2 linked regions of the Kluyveromyces lactis genome follow. The protein of the gene in region 1 interacts with the protein of each later gene in a pairwise test. Links are inferred from orthologs where the notes say so. Each region holds a gene or a part of one and is shown in the gene's direction. Other genes may lie near its edges.

Region 1 (6,783 bases):
TTCTTTCACTAAAAACCAACTAGCCTTTCTAGTGGAAGAGGAAATACAACAGAGGAAAGATAGAGACGAGTTGAAACCTAAGGATACAGTTGAAGGAAGACGTGTGCCAGTTCATGAATACTTAGGTCCACTCTCACCTAAGCAGGCAGAAGCAGCTGCATTTGCAGAGTATCATTGGGACCACCAATTGCTTGGTCCATACGTGCCAAAATCGAAATTAGAGTCTTTATCGGCCAACGAATTTGCAGCGTACTTTAGGAAGAGGCAATTTGAAGAGGGAAGAAAGGCCTTAGAACGTGTAAGCATGGTACCTGCCATTGATCTACCCATAATGGGTGGTGGTAACCCATATGGAGCTGCCCCACACAAACAAAAACACTATAGGAATTAATATCCATACTGATTTAGAGAGGCGGTAACTGACTTGTCATGATGATGTTATTTGATAGGCAAGGGAAGTGAACTGAACACGATACTGACAGCTGATGCTTGTGGCCATACGAATTTTAGACTATGAACTCTTTTAAGAAGATTCTCCAAATACCTATATATACATATATACTTTTATATGTATAGCTGAAAATTGTAACATTTATTGAACCATTAGTCGCTGAATGATTTCAAATACCTCAACATTCAAGAGTAGCTTGTATGAGATTTGATGTTGGAACTACAATAAGTGATATTGTTTTGAATTATATATTTATATGAGGGGGAAAGAAATTTTCTACCTTAATCTTGTTCAGCAATAGAGACCAATCTTTCCTCAATTTCATCAGCTGTTAGCGTAAAGAATTTATCCTTAATCGCTACACCAACTTCTAGATCATTTTTGCTGAAATCTGTTCCTAATGAGTCAATTAGGGTAGTGATACCGAACTCAACGGTTTTTTCCCAACTTTCCTCATCGATTTTATCGTCCTTTAACTTCTTGAAATGCTTCTCCAAAGCAGAGTTCAACTCCTGCTGTTTTGGGCCAGTGGCAGTAGCCTTGTACCCCGTATAGTAACCAGCAGGGTCACATTTGAAAATAGCAGGTCCTGTTTCCTCATCGTACGAAATAAAAGTCAAAATAATCCCTAATGGTCTCATGTAAGCTCTTTGTGTGTATATTTGCGACAAATTGGCCATTCTTTTAGCTAGTACGGAGCATGGGATATCATACCCATATTTATAACGAAACTCACTAGCTTCGGCTTTACATCTCAATGCAATATTTCTGGCATCTGGAACCGGTCCTGTGGCACAGAACCCGATATGTCTTGCCACTGGGAAAATATAGCTAACCGTCTTAGGATCTAAAAGCTTATCTGGGACTTTCTTCTGGCTAATTACCACAGAGGCGGTCTTGGACCTGATGGCTATTGAGTTTAGATTAGGTTGATTGGCCGCTTTGAAGGCATACTCGACTTGGTAAAGACGACCTTCTGGAGAGAAAATAGTAATGTGACGATCGTAACCTGCAGCAGACATAGGATATGTGGTTATAGGGATTCCCAATTGACGATTGAGATTCAGTAGTTACAGGAAGATCAATGAGTTGCCAGGTTCTTCGTATATCTTGGTAAAGGTAACTGTAGTGCGTTGATGTGTTTGCCACCAAAATTATTTAAAAGTTGAAATTAGAGTTAAAATTGAAATGAAATATTAAGGAAGGGGAAGACAACTGAGATAATGCAATCAATAAGAAAAAAAACAGCAACATCAAAAAACACAAGCAAAGCATCCGTGTTACGGTTTTGCGCTACCAAGTCTCAGAATGAGTCCCAGTCTTCTAGATCTAGAGACGCAACTAGCGTTCTACAAAGCTTATCATAACAATACTGGGAATGTGTTAATTCATAGCATTTTTGTCCCAACGATTCTCTTTACATCCATGCGTATATTGAACGACGTTAAGATCTGGAATGGCTATACCTTGACTCATTTGTTAGCGTTGTCATTTGGGTTGTTCTATATACTGTTACGAGTAGGTACCGGAATCCTTGCGTCGTTGATATTGGCACTGACGTGCAAATTTTTGAACGACGGGACTATTAAGATGACACAGACCACTGCCTGGATATTATTTGTGATCAGTTGGATCTTCCAGTTCATTGGCCACGGTGTTTTCGAGAAGCGCAAACCTGCGCTTCTCGATAACTTGGTGCAAAGTCTTGTGCTAGCGCCATACTTCATCCTTTACGAATTACTATTTATTTTAGGGTTCATGCCTGAACTTAAGAAGAATCTACAAGCTCGTGTTGACAAAGAGCTAGATCGTATGAGAGCGAGTAAATAAACTTAACCTCCGTTCGCCTAAACAGTATATATGCTCTATTTATGACTTCTATGATGATGACAATAACGATACTTGAACCCATGATGGAATTGAAACATCAATCACGTGATATAGAAATGATCTCTTTTTTTTCTTCTTTCTATCAGATCTCTGCGATTCGCAGTCACATGACTAGAACTGGGCAAGAACCCCTTTTTATTTCCAGATCCGGGATCACCGTATCATCATGTACGAAACACAACCCCGGGTAACCAAAGGATCACAGAAAAACAATTCGAAAACTGCAGGTTCTTGTACCACACTGCCAGGAACCGGTGCTGCGTGCTGTCGGTATTTTCATTTGTTCTTTTTCTGAGTGAAAATGAGAGAATCAGAAAATGAGAAAAGATTAGGCCCAAAATAATTGAATAAGTCTATCAATATACTTAGAACATATATAAATATATATATGTCTATACATATATAAGTAATTCGTATAAACAAGTTTTAGCTTGAATTGGGTTAGAAAGGCCAGACAAACTCTTGAGGTTTAGATAGAGTGCGCGAGTTGCATTGCAATTGTGCAAAAGAGAAAAAAAAAAACCAATCAAAACGGAGAAATAAAAGGAAATAGCATAATACCGAAAAGAGACGACAAAAAGGAAGTGTCTCGTATTCCTGCATTCTTTTAGTTTTTGATTTCAATTTAGTTTGGATAATTAAATTTGATTGGCGATTTGTATAGGGATCCTCTTGGCCTTGTATACAATCTGGAAGCTTATAGGTCCTTTTACTTGGCTCCTGACGCATTTAAATACCTACAATGACGGTGTTTTTGGGTGTTTACCAGGCGCTTTACGATTATTCTGCGCAAACAGATGAGGAACTAACTGTCAAAGAGGGTGATCTATTGTATCTTTTAGAAAAATCTAGCATTGATGATTGGTGGACCGTTAAGAAGAGAGTTATCGGATCTGATCAGGATGAACCCGTAGGTTTGGTCCCCAAGACATATATTGAAGAGGCTCCAGTGATTGGGAGTGTAGTTGCGCTTTACGATTATGAACAAGTTCAGAATGCCAATGAGGAATTGGTATTCCATGAAAACGATACGTTCCAATTGTATGACGATAGGGATGCAGATTGGTTCTTGGTGAAGAATACCAAGAATTCAGAGGTTGGGTTTGTGCCAGGTAATTACGTGGAAAAACAATCGCAGCAAGCTGGAGGTCCCGCTGCAGGAGTTACACAGTCTAAGCACCAAGCCCCAGCTGTTCTACCCCTTTCTGAACTTCCAGCTCCACCTCAGAGGTTGGACAGAGTCAATTCTCAACCATCATTCAGAAGCGGATCTACCCCTGCTGGCGCTGCAAGTACAGCAGATGCTCCAGGAGCTCCATCTACATCGACACCACCACCAGCATCAAATGCAGGCGTTGCGTCTCATACAACTATGCCAGTTGATGTTTCACTGCTCCCTCCACCTCCAAAGAGAAACGATACGGCAACCACAGAAGTCCAGCGTGAGTCAGCAGTAGCAGAACCTCCAGCAATGCCTCAAAGACCTTCTAATACTGAACACCAAACAAGTTATCGTGATGACCCAAGAGACAATAATAGAACTTCCCAAATAACTAGAGATTATTCAGATGATGAGCGTGATTACGATTTCGATGACGATGAGGAAGATCAACCTCCACTGCCATCTAGAAATGGAAGACCTTCAGCCTCGACCGCTGAACATGTTTGGTCTGTTAGTGAGGTTGATGGTCGTAAGAAATGTAAAGCTACGTTGACTGTTTCTGCTGAACGTATTCATTTCTTCTCTGCAAAGACAAAAGTGGATCAAGAATGGGCAGTTAAAGATTTGATCAACTATAACAATGAAAAAAAGCATCTATTTCTTGAATTTAAAAACCCTTACATTAACTTGGAATTGCATACTGGCTCTAACGATCTGGCTAACGAGATCATGGGCGTCTTGGGTGAGATTAAAGGTGCCCAGACAGCAGTTGGGTTACGTGAAGTTGAAGCTGCTTCAAGGCCTGCCATGACCAAGAAAAGAGCTAAAGCTGTATATGACTTTTTCGCTAACTCTCCTGATGAACTCACCGTTAAAGAAGGCGACTACATTAATATCTTAGATGACAGGACTTCGAAAGACTGGTATATGTGTGAATCTGTAGAAACAGGTAAAAGAGGCATTGTCCCCGCACAATTTGTCGAAACACGCGGATCAGGCTCATCAAGGCCTTCTGATGAAAGCCCTTCTAGGAGTAAGTCTAAGACCAGATCCAGATCTAACACTTCTAACTTTACTCAAAATTTAGTTGGCAGCTGGAAAGAGGATGCTGATCAAGATGTATCGAAGAAAAAGTCTAAAACTTCGAGCTTTTTCTCCAAGAAGAAGAAAACTGATGATAAAGAGTTCCCTGATCCTAAAAAGGTTAGAATTTGGGTAGACAGAAGTGGTACTTTCAAAGTTGAAGCACAGTTTTTGGGCTGTGTCGATGGGAAGGTTAACTTACATAAGGTGAACGGTGTGAAAATTGCTGTTGCTGCAGACAAATTGTCCGAAGATGATATTTTGTATGTGGAAAGATTGACGGGTATGTCTATGGAGAAATTCAAACATAAACCCAAGAGTTCAAATAATGACAGTAGTGCAGTAAACGCAGAACGTGAAAGAAGAAGAAAGGCTAAGGAGCGTGAACGGGAACTTGAAGAAAGAGAACGTGATAGACAATTAAGAGAGCAAGAACTTAAAGAGTTAAAGAGGGCTAGAGATCTCTTGGAAAGCGAAAGAGAAAAGCTGAGGAGTGCACAAGACAAAGAACTGCCACCTGTGAAACCACCAAGACCAGGCAGTGAAGCAAGCAAAACGCACCCTGTCACAAAGAGCTCCAAGAATCCCGAATACGATTGGTTCGAATTTTTCTTGAATGCTGGTGTTGATGTCAACAATTGTCAACGCTACACCATTAATTTCGAAAGAGAGCAAATTAGTGAAGAAATCTTGCCAGATATCGAGCCTTCTTTATTAAGAAACTTAGGTCTACGTGAAGGTGACATTTTAAGAGTAATGAAGTATCTAGATAACAAGTTTGGCAGAACAAAGGAGGCTTCTCCATCAACTGGATTGTTTACTGAAGCCGATGGATCCTTGAAGGTTAACCATACAGGTGCTCCCGCATCTGCAGGCGTATCTCATAATCTATTACCAGATAGTAATTCATCGAATAGAGATGATGATGCATGGACTGTTAGACCTGCTGCTAAAGCCAGCGACAGCTCCAACAAGGCTCAGGATTTCTCTGGGTCACTTCAAGATTTGCTTGATTTGCAACCTTTAGAGCCGAAGAAGAAAGAAACACCAGCTCCAGATGTCAAGCATCTAGAATCTGTCACCACTAACGGTTCGAATAAAAAGGAAGAAACCCCTCTGTCAGCAAATAAGACGGGTACTTCTTTGGTTCCATTAGATCCATTCAAAACTGGTGGTAATAATCTAATCCCTATTACTACAGGGGGATTCATTATGATGCCAGTAGCAACAGGCGGTTTAATGCCATTCCAACCGACTGGGGGGCTAGTACCTCTGCAAAGGACTGGAGGTATGATTGCACCTCAAACAACGTTTGGTATGCAACCAACAGGTACTGTCTTGCCAGTTCAAAAGACTGCGAACGGTTTGATACCAGCGAACACTGGAGGGTTGATGCCACAAACGACGTTTGGTGTACAACCCCAAACAGCATTCCCCGCTACAACCTTTGGTTCAAGTATCACAGGAGGCGCAATGCCTTTACAAAGGACTGGTGGTGCCTTACCTCCTACTTCCTTCAACACGCAAATGCCCGGTGCAATGCCATTGCAATCAACTAACACATTTGGTAATCAATTAACTGGAGGTGCTAATTTGCTGCCTTCCACCACTTTTGGAAACCAATTTACTGGAGGTGCTAATCTACAACCTGCTACCACTTTCGGAAACCAATTCACAGGAGGTGCGAATATACAGCCGGCTACTACCTTTGGGAACCAATTCACAGGTGGAGCGAACATCCAGCCAAACTTCAATTCTGGGAATCTATTTACCGGCAATCAAATGAACATACAACCCCAGACAACGTTTGGTAATCAATTTACAGGTGGTATCAATTTGCAAAACCAACCAAGCCTCGGAAATCAACTTACTGGCGGCGCTCTTCTTCAACAATCTCAGCTCTCCTTCGGCAATCAATTAACTGGTGGTGCTAATGTTCAACAACCGTTCAATAGCAACCTACCACAAACTTCATTTGGTTTATCTCAAACTACGACTGGTGGATTCCAGCCACAATCGTCATTTGGTATCAATTTACAAAGAACCGGAGGTATGAATACAGCACCTCAAACATCATTCAATAACCAAGGAGGTGTCAATCAAGTAACAAATTCCTTCCAGAATATGAATTTGTCCCAGCAACCACTGCAGAATCAGCCAACTGGATTCGGTTTTGGTAACGGTCCACAAGCTCAGC
Region 2 (5,426 bases), on another chromosome or scaffold:
ATGTATATCAAATATATTGCATGCATTTAGTGAAGTAGATTCGTCGAACAGGTAGCCAACCTCCGCTATCAGGCCTATGCCCTTAATTTTATCTAACCAATAATCTTTATCGGTAACTCCATTCAACTGTATATGGTACAAGTTTCTGTTGAGACATTGGAATGATAAATAATCGGATGTGTTCAAACTGAAGGCTATCTGTTTGACTATGTTACTCACTTTAAGAATGTCAGCAAAAGTCACAGCGGAATCCATAGTTAATAATGATGTCTCTCGTAAACCCAGTGGCATCAATGTGTCAGCATCCTCTGGAAATGTTCTCTTAATTTGTATGTTCCTTTTAGTTTTCCTCGATAGATCCACAATTTGTTCTCTGTTCAACATATCAATATTATTATTTATCTAACTAATATAAGAACTATTGAAACATTTGAAATATTGTAAAGCACGCACAAATGAAATGAATGAGACAGACAAGGGCAGTAAAACTTCGCAAGCTACAAGTCTGAATATGGACTCTTTTGACTATCTGTCTGTTCCAGATGGGGTAGAAGTGCCGGCAGATGAATCACAAAGGCGGAGCATATGGAAAACGGTTGAATATGTTATAAGGAACGGTGCAACATATGAAGAGAAGTTAAAGAGCCAGGATATTGGATTCACTCAACCAGGCAACAAGTACAACGACTATTATGCATTCCTTTTAGAGCATCAGAGATCAAGACAGGATACTCTGGTGTCTACTAAGAATGAACTGGATCGTAAACCGAGTGAACCCTATCCATTTGTCTATAGTACTTACCGAAATGATATAGGGCAAAAGGACTTGGAACTAATAAAAGCAGCGGCTCATTTTTGTGTTATCAATAATGATATTAACTACCTTGAGAAACTAAGAGAAAGATATGCGGAAGACCCTCGATTTGCATTTTTACGGCTTGATCATTCTTTGAACTCAGTATTAACTGATTTTATTAATCAATACGAACAGATTTTATCAGAGGAATACGGGCCTATAGTACGATTGGAGGGGCCGTTACAATCAACTATTCTCCGAAGGGCATTTCAGAAAGCAGAATATATGGAATTACAGGATGAATTGAAACAAAAGATGAAGGCAGACATAAAAACATCTAGAATAAGATTCTCGGCTTATGAATGGGAAAAATTTGAATTGGTAGGAACTGTGACTATTAGCGAAGAAGAAAACTTAGAACAGCTACCAGAAGCCTTGAATTTCGATATATTGAAAGCAACAAAGCTCACCAACGATGTTGACATTTTTAAAACAGAAGATGTCAGTGCTGCAGCTCAAAAGAGAAAGAGAAAGAATATGAATATAAGAAAGGCGGGTGAAACTAGATTGAAAAAGAAAAGCGGACTAAGCAACACCAGCGAACACATGCTCAAATGTCCAATTACAGGAAGATTGGTCCCAGAACCCGATTTTGATTCACACTTGAAAATCTTGTTAAGCGATCCTGAGTTCAAAGAAGTACGAGACAAATATGAATCAAAACATAAGTTAACTAATTTGTCTACATCAGAAGTGTACGAAAACATTAAGCGGATAGTGTCGCAAGACAACGCCAACCCTGTAAAAAGGCAGAAAATATAGACGTATGTATGCCTCTGTATGTATTAATTTGTTATATTTTCGTTATTCTTGTCTCATTATAATTTACACTTTCATACTTCAAATTCAAAATCAAAGGTCAAACTGAGTTACTAAATAAATAACATACGATAACAAAAAAACATTCAAAAACATTATCGTATGATGAAATAAAGCAACGTACACATTCGTCAGTAACCCAGTTTGGTTTCAAAGTTATTATCTACTGATAACTACTATTGTAGGTGTCAATTTATAGCATGACGAACTTATCATACATATATATACATCTGTCACAGAACCCAAAGAAAACGTAGATTCACTTAAGAATTACCAGATAACATTTGCCAACTACTTGGAGTGTACAACTGGCACATTTAGTGCAAGGCTTATAATAAATATACCAGCCACATTCATTTTATGTAAGTAAGAATTTTAAAGTAAAGTGATTAAAAAACAACGTTACATCGATATAGCAGAATTTCGGATGCGTCTGCATTCTGAAGAGACTCGTCCTTGTTAGCTCAGTTGGTAGAGCGTTCGGCTTTTAAGCACCGCTTGCAAGGAACCGAAATGTCAGGGGTTCGAGCCCCCTATGAGGAGTCCCTTTATTTTTTTTCCTATTGCGATATTAAACCAGATTCTTGACAACGATAAGTGAAGGCGTTCACTCTCATCCTGGGTACATCATGAATCACATAGAAATACAACGATCTCAGCCCCAATTTACCAAGTATTTGATACTTAGCATTAAACGCACCGTTTAAGTAGATGAATTATCCAATTTTAAGCTTGCCTCGAGTCGATGTTTGTCGGCAGTTAATGTTTGTTTACCTTTTTACTATTTGATCGTCAAATCTGAAAAACCAACTTCCAAAAGTCATAAAATCGTAATGAAATATTTGATATTTTCGAGGTTTCTTTCAGCGAATGACATCGGACTAATTATCAAGTATTATGTACGTTCCGGTATAGCCACTTGATGAGGCATATCAGTTCAATTATTGATTATTATTTGACGCCTTTTTCACAATTTGGCCCTATCTTTCGACATATTTAGGAGATTTGCAATAAGCTATTATAGGAGAACCACCAATTCAGTAGTCATAAACCTAAAGAATGGATCCAATCAATGTCAATGTTAACAGTATCTTTTACAAATCCTACTCAGTAGATCCGGAATCTGAGTATCCAATATATGTCTTTGACTCAACTTATCTTCCCTCTTTCAATGTGGTTGATGACAAGCAAGTTTATGAGCTATTAATCGATGGATTAATGGACAAAGTATTGACGAAACTCCCTGCTGAACCGTTTTCCTTAGTTGTGTTTAGTTCGGGATTTACCACAAATGATATAAGCTGGGTTTATGGCATCAAATTATATTCAAAGGTACCGAAAAATGTGAGGTCATTAATTCAGAAAACGATAGTGGTTCATGAATCATTTTTTGTAAAGACTGTTTTCCAAGTATTGAAAAATGCAATGAGGATCAAAGATTTGAGCAACAAAGATTCAAATACAGATACAGTTATCCACGTACCCTCATTAACTGCTTTAGCAAACCATTTAGACATTACTCTACTAAGAATTAGCTTGAATGTTTATCTCTACGATTATCAATTTAATGAAAAAATAACGATACCAGATCAATATACGGTCAATCCTGGAAGTATAGCGAACAGACAATACAGACAATTAATATTTGATCGTATATTCAAGAGGCTAAAAGTGGAAGGTCCGAAATCTGAGCTCGTTTTTCAAAAGCCCGGATCATACAAAAAAATCAACATTTTGCTGGATGTGATAGAGAGAAACCATTATGTAGATCTCTCTCAATGGGATATCTATTCTCTGGGATCGGTGTTCTTAAACTTTTTGAAAAATAAAAGCAAACCACTAATTCCCCTTGACCTTATACCCTTGCCAGTGACAGATGACTTAGAGTATACGAAAACAACCTTCAAATCGATAACAGAATATAATGGGTATTACGATTTGGTAAGAGCAGTTTTCCCTCTTTTCATTGACTTCCTTGATAATAGTGATGAAACAAAGCATAACCTGAAGACATTGAGTAAATCTTTGACCCCAACTTTATGTAAAGAAAAAGTTTCGATGAAGAGCAGCGACAAATTGTCGATTGGTACTCGTTTCATTAGGAATCTACTATCACAGTTCTATTTAGTCATTGATGAACTTGATTCGAAAAATGCTCCAGCTCTCCCGGCAAGAATAATATCTTCTACGACAATAACTCCTCCTGAGTTACCCAAGCCCAGAAAAGCAAGTCCAACCAGATACACAATCACTTCGCCAACCCCACCTGAAACGACGCCCGCTGTTAGGCCAAGATCTTCCTCTGTTAAACATACCCCTCCATCAACAGAATTGGGCGTATCAGCTTCATCGTCCAATGTTTTACAAGAACCAAATGCTCTCCCTGTTATTAATTTAACAGAAGTGCCAACGTTGGAACCTCCATCTCCGTTCATCAATGACTCCAGAAACGACTCTACAAACTCTTTTGACAGTAATGGCAGTATGCAGAGGGACAGACTACGCTCTCCGACAAGACATTTGGGTAAGGACATTATCACTGATGCTGATACAAATGGAGTGGATGAAATTGTGGGATTAACCGACCTTTTAGATCAATTGACTATTGAAAAGAATGCAAAGATTCAATCATTTGATAAAGAAATGAAAAAGAAAAAGATGATACAGCAAAAATCAACGAATGCTACCAGATTTTCTAATGAAGGTTACGCAGACATATCTAAGGGTAGCAAGGTGAGCAAGCTAGCAGCTCTTTATGAGGAGCGTCTACAAGGTCTACAGGCCATTAGTGATCTTAAATAGAACCAATTTCCATATAGGGAACTCTCTTTAAAAAAACATCAAAACGTATATAGTGAGTGACGAAAAACGCCAAAGTTAGTTTGGTTTCCATGTCAAGGTTCGAGGCCACCAAAATCAGAATCGGCATGCTAACATGACCGAATAGGAAAAGAACCTGATCTGTTACTTAAAAGTACTGTATATACACCCTTTCGTGAAGCCAGCAATTAAGTAAACATTGACTCTTCAAAGGGACACATACAAGTGTTTTCATATAGCTGATCATCTCTTCGACTATTGTTGCCAATTCTTTTTTTTCTAGTAAACAAGTTGGCAAGATGAGCTATAACACAACTCCATTGTTTGGGCGACAGTCATTTTTAACCGAGGACAATGAAGTTGAACTAAATATTTCTCCTACTCAACCATTGGATCTGAGAATGTCAATAATAAAAGCTCAAAAAAGGACGTCTTCTCAAGCAATTAGAATTTCCACAATCGCCCAAAGACTAACGAACGATAGTAAACATGTTTCTATACAGTCCACTAACACCTATACTTCGAATGACACTTTTCTCACTGCAAATTCCCGCGAAGCACAACTCCAGAATGATCTAAGCTTTCAACAAAGTCATCCTTTCACAGTATTCACTAAAAGCAAAGAACAACTTCATGATGTTGATGTGACCCCAGTGGTAAAGGAGTCCACATTCATAGATGTTACGACCCCAAAGGCAAGCAAATTTGAATTAGTGCCACCTGAAGAAGAATTGAGTAACTCACCTAATCCCATTAAGGGGCTAGGCTTGACGCACTCCAATCACACGCCAGAGTTCAGCTACGATGTAAATCAAACAGTTAGTGACACCGAAGAAGGTGATACCACTCATGAGTTTACATTTGACTCCTATGGAAAGTTTGCCCATAATGGTACCCTGATATCGGCTGGCGACACTATAACAACTACCCC

What was found. The genes of interacting proteins can lie anywhere in the genome.
Region 2: the proteins of SLA1 (region 1) and ECM25 interact in binary tests that used the Saccharomyces cerevisiae proteins (3 or more experiments, as listed by UniProt). The link is inferred for Kluyveromyces lactis from reciprocal best matches to the Saccharomyces cerevisiae genes SLA1 and ECM25.

The regions. Positions count from the first base shown.
Region 1 is NC_006037.1:445,088-451,870, reverse strand, and holds the start of SLA1 (cytoskeletal protein-binding protein SLA1), read left to right. Parts: upstream 1-3,083; coding exon 3,084-6,783. Other genes in the region: LDB7 (Ldb7p), read left to right, coding at 1-391; SCL1 (proteasome core particle subunit alpha 1), read right to left, coding at 733-1,473; 2-hydroxy-palmitic acid dioxygenase MPO1, read left to right, coding at 1,760-2,281. UniProt on the Saccharomyces cerevisiae protein: Component of the PAN1 actin cytoskeleton-regulatory complex required for the internalization of endosomes during actin-coupled endocytosis. The complex links the site of endocytosis to the cell membrane-associated actin cytoskeleton.
Region 2 is NC_006039.1:298,945-304,370, forward strand, and holds ECM25 (Ecm25p), read left to right. Parts: upstream 1-2,734; coding exon 2,735-4,477; downstream 4,478-5,426. Other genes in the region: RCY1 (Rcy1p), read right to left, coding at 1-384; PRP21 (Prp21p), read left to right, coding at 461-1,618; Ras family guanine nucleotide exchange factor BUD5, read left to right, coding at 4,795-5,426. UniProt on the Saccharomyces cerevisiae protein: May be involved in cell wall organization and biogenesis.